4 linked regions of the Saccharomyces cerevisiae S288C genome follow. The gene in region 2 interacts genetically with the main gene of each other region. Each region holds a gene or a part of one and is shown on either strand. Other genes may lie near its edges.

Evidence for each region.
Region 1: mutations in NBP35 (region 2) and YIR018C-A together harm fitness more than expected from each alone (negative genetic interaction), as found in Saccharomyces cerevisiae (one large-scale study listed by BioGRID).
Region 3: mutations in NBP35 (region 2) and YLR154C-H together harm fitness more than expected from each alone (negative genetic interaction), as found in Saccharomyces cerevisiae (one large-scale study listed by BioGRID).
Region 4: mutations in NBP35 (region 2) and UPA1 together harm fitness more than expected from each alone (negative genetic interaction), as found in Saccharomyces cerevisiae (one large-scale study listed by BioGRID).

Annotation. Positions count from the first base shown.
Region 1 is NC_001141.2:385,043-387,590, forward strand, and holds YIR018C-A (uncharacterized protein), read right to left. Parts: upstream 660-2,548; coding exon 522-659; downstream 1-521. Other genes in the region: YAP5 (Yap5p), read left to right, coding at 1-304.
Region 2 is NC_001139.9:341,553-344,904, forward strand, and holds NBP35 (Fe-S cluster-binding ATPase), read right to left. Parts: upstream 1,491-3,352; coding exon 504-1,490; downstream 1-503. Other genes in the region: nucleocytoplasmic transporter NUP145, read left to right, coding at 1-307; LIF1 (Lif1p), read left to right, coding at 1,767-3,032; MF(ALPHA)2 (Mf(Alpha)2p), read right to left, coding at 3,239-3,352. UniProt on the Saccharomyces cerevisiae protein: Component of the cytosolic iron-sulfur (Fe/S) protein assembly (CIA) machinery. Required for maturation of extramitochondrial Fe-S proteins.
Region 3 is NC_001144.5:468,250-470,765, forward strand, and holds YLR154C-H (uncharacterized protein), read right to left. Parts: upstream 710-2,516; coding exon 578-709; downstream 1-577. Other genes in the region: asparaginase ASP3-1, read right to left, coding at 1,068-2,156.
Region 4 is NC_001139.9:1,058,452-1,062,018, forward strand, and holds UPA1 (putative methyltransferase), read right to left. Parts: upstream 1,590-3,567; coding exon 564-1,589; downstream 1-563. Other genes in the region: BGL2 (glucan 1,3-beta-glucosidase), read right to left, coding at 1-273; protein ERV29, read right to left, coding at 2,207-3,139; ZUO1 (zuotin), read right to left, coding at 3,401-3,567.

The sequences.
Region 1 (2,548 bases), on a different chromosome or scaffold from region 2:
GATCGAGAATTTCAAACCAATGAAGGCGATACCTATTAAGTACAATACCGCTATCAAGCGCCACCAGCACTCGACAGAACTGCCTAGCTCTGTCAAATGCGGCTTTTGTAACGACAACACTACTTGCGTTTGTAAAGAACTGGAAACAGATCACCGTAAAAGTGACGACGGTGTGGCCACAGAACAGAAGGATATGTCGATGCCACATGCAGAGTGCAATAATAAAGATAACCCCAATGGGCTCTGTAGTAATTGTACTAATATCGACAAATCATGTATCGACATCCGGTCCATCATCCACTGAAGAGAGAGAACTTCTTAATACTTATAAATACGTCATTGAACAGCTCAACTTTTGTAACGTCAAAAGAACGCACATGAAAGGAGTGACATTGCTTTTTTCTTTGCAAGTTTATTACTGTGGTTATGTGTAAAGAATTAGTTCATGGACATTGGCCGCAGAGTGCAAAAGCGTTTTGGACACCCCGCCTTTGGTGTTCTCGCCGCCATATTTTGAGACGTTAGTTTCCGACGAATTGAGCTGAAGCGGTGGACATTATCTCAAGGTACCGCTTACTATGCCTATACATTCCTGCAATTTTTTTTTTTTTTTTTTTGATAAGTATTACTGGGTAATGGGAAGTATAATCACTAGGCATATTATTTTTGACGCAGAGGAGTGGCAGCCTGTCTACTATGTAAATGTAATGGTAGAACCGTTATTATAACGTAAAATAGATCGTACATAAGAAAAACTGGACGCAAACCATTTAAATCTAAATGCGAATATGCGTACTGATTATTAACATGATACCATAATTTAGATCTTTCCTTTTGAAAGTCGTGTCAAATTCTAGTATTGGCGGATGAGATCCTAATGTGCTAAACAATAGAGATAATGGGATCCCCGCAAATTTCATTTTTAAATTGCTTTCCTCTTCTGAGTTGAACACGAATTTTTGAGAATCTAGCTGTAGTTAGACGTTACGCAAAAGAAGCTTTGGCGCAAGCAAATCTCCTTCCATACTGGTCTCCTTTACGGCTGTACGAACACTACCGTAGTGACAAACTGAAAAACGAGGATTTGGTGAGCAGTCTGGAACAGGTAGATGAATCATAAAGCGCAGCAACCATCCTCGAACTGATGACAGTACGACTTTTCTCCAAAATAGATATAAAGAAAGGCTGGTTATTCGTGGAGAGTTCAGTCCTCCGTATCTAACCTTGATGAATTAAAACTCAGGCCAGAACAATCTCTTTAACAGACCTCCATACATACTCTCGGAGCTATATTTTAGTGCGATCAAACTGCGAATAGAATAAAGCAGACGCAAGAGGCAAATTACAAACTCTTGCGCTTCCTTTTTAGCGAGCTTGTTAAAGTAGGGTCTGAACGAGAGGCTGTCACAATTGCGTTGCGTTATGCAAAGGATATAACACGGTGCTGAAGTTAAACTGTGAAACTATACAAGTGGAGGACCCTTTGAGTTTTCTGTAGATAAAAAGGAGAATGTTTCAGAAGAGCGTCAGAGATCTCGAATGACAGATCGGTGGCTACCACGAAATCTTATAGGCGTTTCTCTGGGCTCCCTAGTTACGTATAGCGCTGACGTAGTTTAGAAGGGCGCGCGCATTTTTTCTATTGTTGCCTCTTTTCTCGCTAGCTGGCTTTTAGCATCATGTTCTGCGGATATTATTCTCCGCCCGGAAGGTTCGTGGAAGGCCTAGAATGAGATCTATCAATAACGCTACGCAGATTTCTAATGTTACATGTCACGTCGATCTGACATATATCTCCGTCAGGTTCGATCCAGACTCTCTGCGCGCGTACCAAGAGCTTTTTGTTTCAATAGGAACGGAATTTCCTTTATTGAATGTGGCAACGAACTGCGGAGGGTTATTAGCTTCTTGACACTTTCTTCGTCCATTACGTAGACCTAACGTTGAAAAGGAGACCTCGAAGAAATTTTAACTCTTGGCACCTCAGAATAAACAAGGTCATCTAGTGCGATGGCAATGCTTCAAAGTAAATGGAGAATTTCGAAGGCTAGCGTCTCTAGATAAATCTCAGCCTAACCCTTTTACACGAAGTTTTCCCAACAAAAAAAAAAAAAAAAAAAAAAAAAAAAAGAAGGGCGGTTGTCTTTGGCATATCGCGAAAATAATAGATCTTATCAAGGGGTTTTTAAGTCATCCTCTGATTATTGGAAGTCATAATCACGTTCAATGGTGGGAGGCCTTCGGAAAAGAAAAGAAAAGAAAAGAAAATTTTCTCAATCTGAAACAGTCTCTTGTTTACGTTACACTGGCAATTTTAACGGCGAGACTCATCTGAAAAAAGCTATTCGACTTAGTCCTGTGTTTTTCATTACAGATAATCCTGATCAACGGGTGTACGTTTTTCCATTTTAGGTCAGTATCCTCCCTCTGTGTTTCAAACTAAGTATAAGCGCCCACCCTAATTCGCTCGTATCCTTGTGTCAACTTCTTTGCTGCTCTGCAGCTGTAAACAGTTTTTGCGATAAGCCTCACATATGTCAGTGCTGTA
Region 2 (3,352 bases):
TGTAAGTATAAACGTATTTGAAGTATATCTAAAGCTTGTGTTGGATAATGTTGAAACGCAGGAGACTATCGATTCATTAATTAGTGGTATGAAGATATTTTATGATCAGTATAAGCACTGTCGTGAAGTGGCCGCATGTTGTAATGTTATGTCCCAAGAGATTGTATCAAAAATATTGGAGAAAAACAATCCTTCAATAGGCGATTCGAAGGCCAAATTGCTTGAGCTCCCCCTAGGGCAGCCAGAAAAGGCATACTTGAGGGGTGAGTTTGCCCAGGATTTAATGAAGTGTACATATAAGATATAAGTTTTTTTATTTTTATTTCTAAAAAAAAGAAAAATAGTAAAACATGGACTGAAGCTAACGCTTTTGGAGTAATTAGTAGCATTATATATGGTAAAAGTGTTCTTCAGTAGGTCTAAGATTTAAAGGTAATGATATTTATATTATAAAACGATTTGACCTCTAATGCACTTCCTTTTATTCTTTTTGATAAAATATACTATACATCCCCCACAGCATCTCGCAGAGCCTCCACAACGTTAAGTACAGCACTCGAAGCTGGGCTGTCAGGATAGTTATCCAGGAAACTTTCACCCATGTCACAACTCTTGCCAATCCTCGGATCTAACGGAACAGACCCCAAAAATTTGATGCCCAATTCCTTACAAAGTGCTTCACCTCCACCTGTGGTAGCCTTGAATATTTGGGACTCTCCTTTGCAATTTGGACATACAAATCCGCTCATATTTTCCACTAGTCCAAGAATATTGATACCAGCCTTCTTACAGAAATCTATCTCTTTCCGTACATCTAATAAAGCTACTTCCTGAGGTGTGGTGACCACAAGGGCACCATCTATGCCAGATTCTCTCATATACTTGTTTATTGAAATGTGCTCATCAGATGTTCCGGGCGGTGTGTCGATTACCAAGTAATCGAGTTTATCCCAATCAACATCCTTTAAAAATTTTTTTATCAATAAATTCTTTTTTGAACCCCTCCATATAATGGCGGAATCGTCTTCTGGAAGCATATATTGAATAGACATGGTGGCTAAATTATCAGTCACATAGACAGGTGTCCAACCGGAGTTCGATTCATGGACGGTTTCTTTAATGCAGCCTAACATATGTGGCAAAGAAGGTCCACATATATCTAAATCCATGGCACCTACTTGTAAATCTTCGTCAGCTGAAAGTGCCCAACTTAGCATTGCGGCAAATGTCGACTTGCCTACGCCACCTTTGCCTGATAAAACCAATATTTTATGTTCTATTCCTGACAAGTTATCTGTGATCAATGGAATATCTGGATCAGGGCCTTTCGGAAGACTTTCACATATTTCTTTATTGGCGCAGCCACCACAAGCATCGGACTTACCTGCCATGTCTGATTCTGGACCAGGACAGTGTTCTGGTTCCGGCTGATTAAGTTCATACTCTGCTGGTAGCACTTCGTCGTTTACATGTGGTAGTATCTCAGTCATTCTTGGATATCACTTATGTATACTGTTGTTCTCAAAAACAGAAAGACTTCACGTTTAGCCTAGCCTACGAGTTGTTGGACAAACATGTTATTTATTATTATATACAAAATATTTCTACGCATTACTAATTACACCATTAATGAATCCGAAAAAGTACCCGGAAGCGTATTTTGAAAAGCCATATTAAAGAATAATAAGATGAACGGCAGTTTTCGACGTGTCAATGCATAGAACTGAGAGAATTGTGCATTGGATGACTTATTTATGTAGGGTGCTATGTCCCAGCTGACGGAGTTCATTAGCTGTATCCCTGTGGTTAATGAAGAACAAAATGAAGAAGATGAGCGTGGCCTCTGTAAGATTCAGATTGAAGATGGCGCTATGTTGGAAACATTAGATGAGAACAGTCTTTCAGGGCTTAGAATAGAGAAAATGTTGGTAAGTGAAGGTACAGGAATTTTTTCCAAAAGCAGTTTTGGAATCAATGATTTGCGAATCTTTACGGGAGAAAATATCGATGAAGAGTCTAAGAAATATGTGTGGTATGAACTACTCAAAATGTTAACTGGTCACAAAGTGTACATTGCATCGTTAGACGAAAAAGTCGTATTCACAAAATGGACGTGCAGAATGCAAGATGATGAGGTATGGAAAGTAGTTATGGAGTTGGAGTCATCGGCGATCATAAGAAAAATCGCTGAACTTACCTTGCATCCAGTCAAAAAGGGAGAGATTGATTTATTTGAAATGGCAGATAAACTCTATAAAGATATCTGTTGTGTTAACGATTCTTACCGGAATATAAAGGAGAGCGATTCTAGCAATAGAAATCGAGTTGAACAGCTGGCTCGGGAAAGGGAGCTATTGGATAAGCTTTTAGAAACACGTGATGAAAGAACCAGAGCAATGATGGTAACCTTGTTGAATGAGAAGAAGAAGAAAATAAGAGAGCTTCATGAGATTCTGCGACAAAATAATATCAAATTGTCTGACGATGATGTTTTAGATTCTGCGCTTATTAATACGGAAGTGCAAAAGCCAATTTCTGAGTTAAACTCTCCAGGAAAAAGAATGAAACGAAGAAAGACGGTAGTAGAGCCTCAAAATTTACAAAAGAAGTTGAAAGACACAAGTCGGAGGAGAGCTAATAGAAAAATATCTAATCAATCCGTGATCAAAATGGAAGACGACGATTTTGATGACTTTCAATTTTTCGGACTTTCTAAAAGGCCAATTATTACTGCTAAAGATAAACTCAGTGAAAAGTACGATGATATTACCTCTTTTGGAGATGACACACAATCAATAAGTTTTGAATCTGATAGTAGCAGTGATGTTCAAAAACATTTAGTGTCTTTAGAAGACAATGGTATTCAAATATCAGCAGGAAGATCGGATGAAGATTACGGAGACATTTCTGGTTCTGAATCTGAGACTGATGCAAGTGCAGGGGAAAAGAAGAGCTCCAACCATAGTGAACAATCCGGTAATGATAGGGAACCTTGCTTGCAGACAGAATCGGAAACGGATATAGAAACATAGCCTATTTATGAATGAATGTAATATATGGCAAAGAGTATTATAGTATCGCATCATTTGAGAGAATACTTTATTTAAATGGCAAAAAATAGTTCTATGTGAGTGATCGAAAACTCAACTACTCAGATTGAAAAGAAAATAAATAAAACTAGGTGTTGTATGAACGTGAAAGAAATCGAGAGGGTTTAGAAGTAGTTTAGGGTCATTTTTCAGTACATTGGTTGGCCTGGCTTGAGTTGCAACCAGTGCCAAGCATCAGCGTTGGCCTCTCTCTTGTACATTGGTTGGCCTGGTCTCAAATTTAACCAGTGCCAAGCGTCGGC
Region 3 (2,516 bases), on a different chromosome or scaffold from region 2:
CTTTTCCTCTGTCCACTTTCAACCGTCCCTCCAAATGTAAAATGGCCTATCGGAATACATTTTCTACATCCTAACTACTATAAAACAACCTTTAGACTTACGTTTGCTACTCTCATGGTCTCAATACTGCCGCCGACATTCTGTCCCACATACTAAATCTCTTCCCGTCATTATCGCCCGCATCCGGTGCCGTAAATGCAAAACAAATACCATCTATGTCTTCCACACCATCATTTTACTATGCCTGCCACCATCCATTTGTCTTTTGCACCATATCTTCATAACCTGTCACCTTGAAACTACCTCTGCATGCCACCTACCGACCAACTTTCATGTTCTGTTTCGACCTACCTCTTGTAAATGACAAATCACCTTTTTCATCGTATGCACCTTATTCTCCACATCACAATGCACTATTGCTTTTGCTTTTTCACCTGTCATATCCTATTGCTATTAGATGAAATATAATAAAAATTGTCCTCCACCCATAACACCTCTCACTCCCACCTACTGAACATGTCTGGACCCTGCCCTCATATCACCTGCGTTTCCGTTAAACTATCGGTTGCGGCCATATCTACCAGAAAGCACCGTTTCCCGTCCGATCAACTGTAGTTAAGCTGGTAAGAGCCTGACCGAGTAGTGTAGTGGGTGACCATACGCGAAACTCAGGTGCTGCAGTTGTTTTTTTTTTCGCGCACGAATACATCACGCAGCCTCGCCTTGACACTGCTCAAGGGATAAGGGGAAGGAGCTGAGATAGAACTGAGTTGGAGCGTTGCAGCGGCACGAGCAGTGAAAAGAGCGAAGAGAAGAGAAGCAGATAAAAGACCAAAGTAGCGATGATACTTCGATGTTTGGAGCGATTTTTCCTATGTGAATATTAGAAATCATATGTTTTGTATCAGCTGAACAGTGAATGATGTGCTCAATACTCAAATTCATCTTTTTGTTTGCTAAAAATAGCTTAACTGGCACATCATGAAAAGGATGTAGAAATTATAGAGTATATTTACTACTAAGAACTATATAAAAACACAGTGTGATGAAAAGTCACTGATCAGGCTTTAACCACCGTAGACGCCAGAAAAAACAGACCTAATCTGATCCATGCCGTAGCCGGAGTACAAACATAATTGTAGCAAAATACGCGATTTTTGAGGGTTTAGGTAGCCAGATCCAATGGCGTACTCTGGGGCATCATCTGGAGGAACTGTACCATCTGCTGTTCTTCTGCTGTGAACAATTGGTATACCATACTCTTCATAAAGTTGTTCGTTTACAATACTACCCGTAGCAGTCCAGGAACCAGCTCCAGAACCCGCCAACACGATACCTTTTGCGCCCAGGTCCTTGACGGCCTTTACTATTAGCTCAGGATTCAAGCCTTGATAGGAGTACAGAATAATGACTTCTGGAATTTCCGAAGGGTCTGTGAGGTTGGAAATGTCAAAAAATTGCCATCCATTTGGCTTGACTGGTGGGTAGTAAAACTCCACGTCATCATTTGAAAAGTAACCTAAATATCCCTGTTCATCCGCTCTGAATGTATCTAAAGAGTTGGCATTCATTTTCGTTGTCCAAAACCCAGAGGCAATACGATCGTTTAGAGTGATCATCGTGCCACGACCCAGTGATTTCTCAGAAGCAGCAATAGACACTGCTTGATATAAATTCATTGGGCCATCAGCAGACGTGGCAGTGGCTGGACGCATAGCGCCTGCGATACATACTGGCTTCTCTGAATTTATGGTCAAATCTAAGAAGAAAGCTGTCTCCTCCATAGTGTCGGTCCCATGAGTGACAACCGCACCAGCGTAGTCATCAGAGGCTAGTGCCTCGGAGATACCGTGATACAATGGGATCAGATGCGTATAGTTTAAAGAATTTGAACCAACGTTAGACACTTGAAGATAGTCCAGATTTGCCTTCTCAGCTAAAGATGGGACGGCTTCTATTAAATCATTTACGGTTAATCCCACGCTATAACCCGCCGTTGTTGCACTTGTCGAACCCTTGGAAGCGATAGTACCGCCGGTACCAAAAATTTTGATTGATGGCAAAGAAGAATTCTTCTCTTCACGAATTTTTAGTAGTGGAGCACCACTGGACATTGCGACAAAGAGAGAAAGTAAAAGGGTATTTAAAGATCTCATAGTTGGAGGTTGGTGAGTACCAGATTGCTTACAAAAGAATAGCGAGCCAACATTTGCTCTGCCTCAGGCCTCTTGGTGCTGCTTGAAGACTCATCTTATATGGCTTTTGTATGTCATGATTTGTTCTTGTACATTATGTGTTGATATTAAACAAATTGATTTTTTTTTTTTTGCGATAGCAAGCAGATAATGAAAGAGACAAGGACTTGGAACATCCGATAAGACTGCGCCGATATCGATCTTACAGTCCTTCCCTTGTGTCATGACTTTCGGAAAAGCATCCTCGTCGACTGGTAGTTTGCTGTCTGTCACGTGCTGAAGGGTCTGATACATTTTTTTAAAGATAAGAGACGGGGTTTA
Region 4 (3,567 bases), 720 kb from region 2:
TGGCCAAACACCGACAAAGATAGTAAATCCCTCAGCTTCAGCAGCAGGACCTAAGTTTTGCAAAGTGTTACAATCTGAGGCAGCGTAAACTTTGACGGTGGAAGTGTAGCTCTTCAAAGCTTGTAATTCGGTTTCATAGTCGGAAGTGGACTTACAAGTACCATCGTTGTTCTTGACACCCAAGTTAAAGGCTAGTTCACCAATAGCTGAAACTTGGGAGGCTGTGAAAAATAGCGCAGTAGCTGCAGTAGCGAGTGTAGTAGAGAAACGCATCTTTGACCGTTTTTCTTTTTGGTTAGTTGTCTATCTCAATAAACTTATATTGAAAAAAACAAGAAGAAGTCCAAATTGTGAATGAGGAAAAGTTTCTTTATAAGGAGGCAGTTAAAATCAAAATAAACAAATATCCTCTTGTTTTCTTCGTGACATTTTTCTCTTTTTCAGGGCGAAAAACTGAAAGAAAAATTTTAACGTTTCTTTTACTAAAAATAGAACTGCATATCCGTAGAAAACGATGATTATATAACATAAATAGTAATATCAGTTATTAATTGCTATTTATTTCAACTTGCCCAACGCTGAAACATGGTAAGAGCTATGGGTAGGCTATCTTGAATGGGTATATTTCCCTGGGGTACGGAAGCAGGGAATTGCAGTTGACCAGAAAAGTAATGATGCAAAGAAGAGGATTCTAAGTCAGATCTCCTGAAACAACGTTTTAAATGGCCCCATTTCCCGAAGATAAGCAGGATATTACAGGGTTTTTCTGATGTTGAACTTTTTTTCAGTTTTGCGATGTATGGTAGCTTTGTTTCTACCTTGTGGTACTTTGACAACTCTTCGTCGTAGTGGAAGTCACCACTGTTGACCCAAACGATCTTTGTGTAACCTTCGGACACCTCATTCAAAGTGCTTGCCATTCGAACATGATAGCCGAGTGGTTTTCCTTTGTAAGCATCTATGGGTGACACTACTTCTTTGCGCTCTGTATCAACTGTTACACGCGCAGTATTGGGAATATTTTGGTTAGATAACGTAATAATTTGATTCTTTCCTATATACACCAAATTTGTTAGAGCATCATCAGATTTACCTTTTGAGCTATCTCGTGCGATTGATAAGCCTTCCTTGTAGTGTTGTTCGGCAGATGCGTTCATAAAAGGTAGCTGGTTCAATGGCGGAAAGGTAGATGCACACTTTAAATATAACTTGTTTTTTTTTTTGAATGTAGTATCCAGTAAGTTTGGAGGCGTTACAAAATATTGTAATAGTGTGGCAAGTAATAAACAATCAGAGATAGTCTCCTTTGATCTTGATTTTTTTTCATGCTTTTTATCTTTTGACTGGTCTAGAACTATGATTTCTTGAACATTGAACAATACAGCTGTCCGAGCTATTTGATATGCAGTAAATGTAACTTGCTCCAAATTATTACAATTGTCGATAACAGTTGTCGGTATGCATATGGAATATTTGACCACATTAGATTCTATATCCATGATTTTTTTTAGCTTCAATAGGCCTGTCTTTGCCTTTTTGGCAGCCCCCTCTTCGTGCTTAAGGCTCTCGGATTTATGTTTTACTGCCATCTTCCCCTATTATGCTACACTTCCCTTGGTAGATGTGTTTCACCTCATTGGTATCAATTACCTCCTCTACTTAATATCCCAATTTCAACATGGTGTTTTCAAGCGATGAGGTGGAAAAAATTTCAAATAATATGTTTGGGTGTGCCCATTATTGCGGTTTACAATAGTTGCTAAAGAGCTATTTATTAGGAATTTTTAAACTTTAGAGATTGCTTAAAGCGACTTTAAAGCGTTTCTTTGGAAAGATAGGAGAGCGGATGCTATCTCAAGAGCATCTCTTCAATGATTTAAGCAGTGACAGTGTAAAACAATTACGGACCAACGAAAATGGTCAAATCAAAACTAATTACAATAAATAAGTTCTATCATAATACAAGGGAATTCTGTGCGATATAACCACATTGATTGAAGGTAGAATATACAAGCCAACGTGAGACCAATCAAATTTCGTTAAGTGCGCCTATACAAAAAGAAATCTTTTATGTAGATATGACAGTAAGAAAAGTATATATGTGAGCTAGCAGGGTATTGAAAGCGATCACAAGAAGGCAAAACGAAATAGATTGTTAGAAGATGAGTGAACAGAAGGGACATAAAGAAAAGATTTCCTTTACAATCTAGTAAATCTTCTTCTTTTCATCAACGGATAATTCACCAGCGCCAGTATTAGTAACTAATAGAAGCCCACCAATGATGCTTAAGTTCTGGTAAAACTCATACTTCAAGAAATCTCTCTTAGTATTGTTATAAAACCAGTAGTTGTTTAGCGTGATATTGTAAAAAGTTAGTATCAAACCCAACATAATGGATGCGAATTTTGTCTTGTAACCAATGGCGAAACATATTGTGCCGATAATGGTCAAAACAACAGTAAACCATGATTTACTGAAAGTGAAAGCGATAAACATTAAAACAATTAAAATTCTACCAGCAAACAACAGGTAACCCTTCGCTTTGTCGTTTTTGCTGTTTAATTCAGGAAGCATACCGAATGTTGTCTTGTTTTGAACAATTGAATCGCTGAATGCAATTAACAACCCACCAATAACACTAAAGTTTCTTAGGACAAATGATGAACCCGTAAACAACCCATAAACTAATGCTTGAGAAATAACGCAAGCACATAACACACCGGTGGCATAATTGGTTTGCTTTCTTAAAACTAACAAACTGGCGCCAATCAACATGGAAACGGTAACAACCACTAGAAACACAACGACAAAGAAGTATGGGTAATGCTTCCACTTATTCAGATAAAAAATTTGATCTGACCATTGTGATAAGATCCTAAACGAATCTTCATAAAAGGTGGCCACAATGAAAAATCTTGACAAACTTGGAATGTAAGGCTTCAATTTATAAACAACTGCATTGTCAGTGAGCCCCTCAATTCTGGAGGCAAACTTTTCAAAAGAATGCTTCCATTGCTTTAAGATGCCAGAAGTGGATTGGTTCTGGTTTGATCTGAATTGTGCACCGCCAGAGTATGGTCCTTGCGATGATGACATTGGCATACCGCCAAAATTTCCAATAGGTCCTCTGTAAGACATTGATCTATCCTTTCAGTTTTGTTTTCACTTTTTTTGAGTCGTACTAATTGCAGCTATTGTAAGTAAATAAGGACACCTTTGATCTTTCGTTAAAGGTGTCCTTTATTTTTCGCCTTTCTCATTATTCCCTCTTCTCTCATCTTCTAGAAATACCTAAAAAGGGAACCGTTACCCGAACCTATTCATTATAGAAATAAAAGAGAACGTTCTCTATAATATTCGTATACATTCGTATATATTCTATTCCATTTCTTACGGTATTCACACGAAGTAGGACAACAAGCTGGATGGTAGTTTGCCAGAATCGACAATAGTCTTTGCAGATTCCTTCAAAACTTCCTTGGCACCAGCAGCATTGGCCTTGATCTTATCGGCGGTGGACACTAACTCTTCGTCATTCAAACTGTCAACGATCAAACCAACTTGTT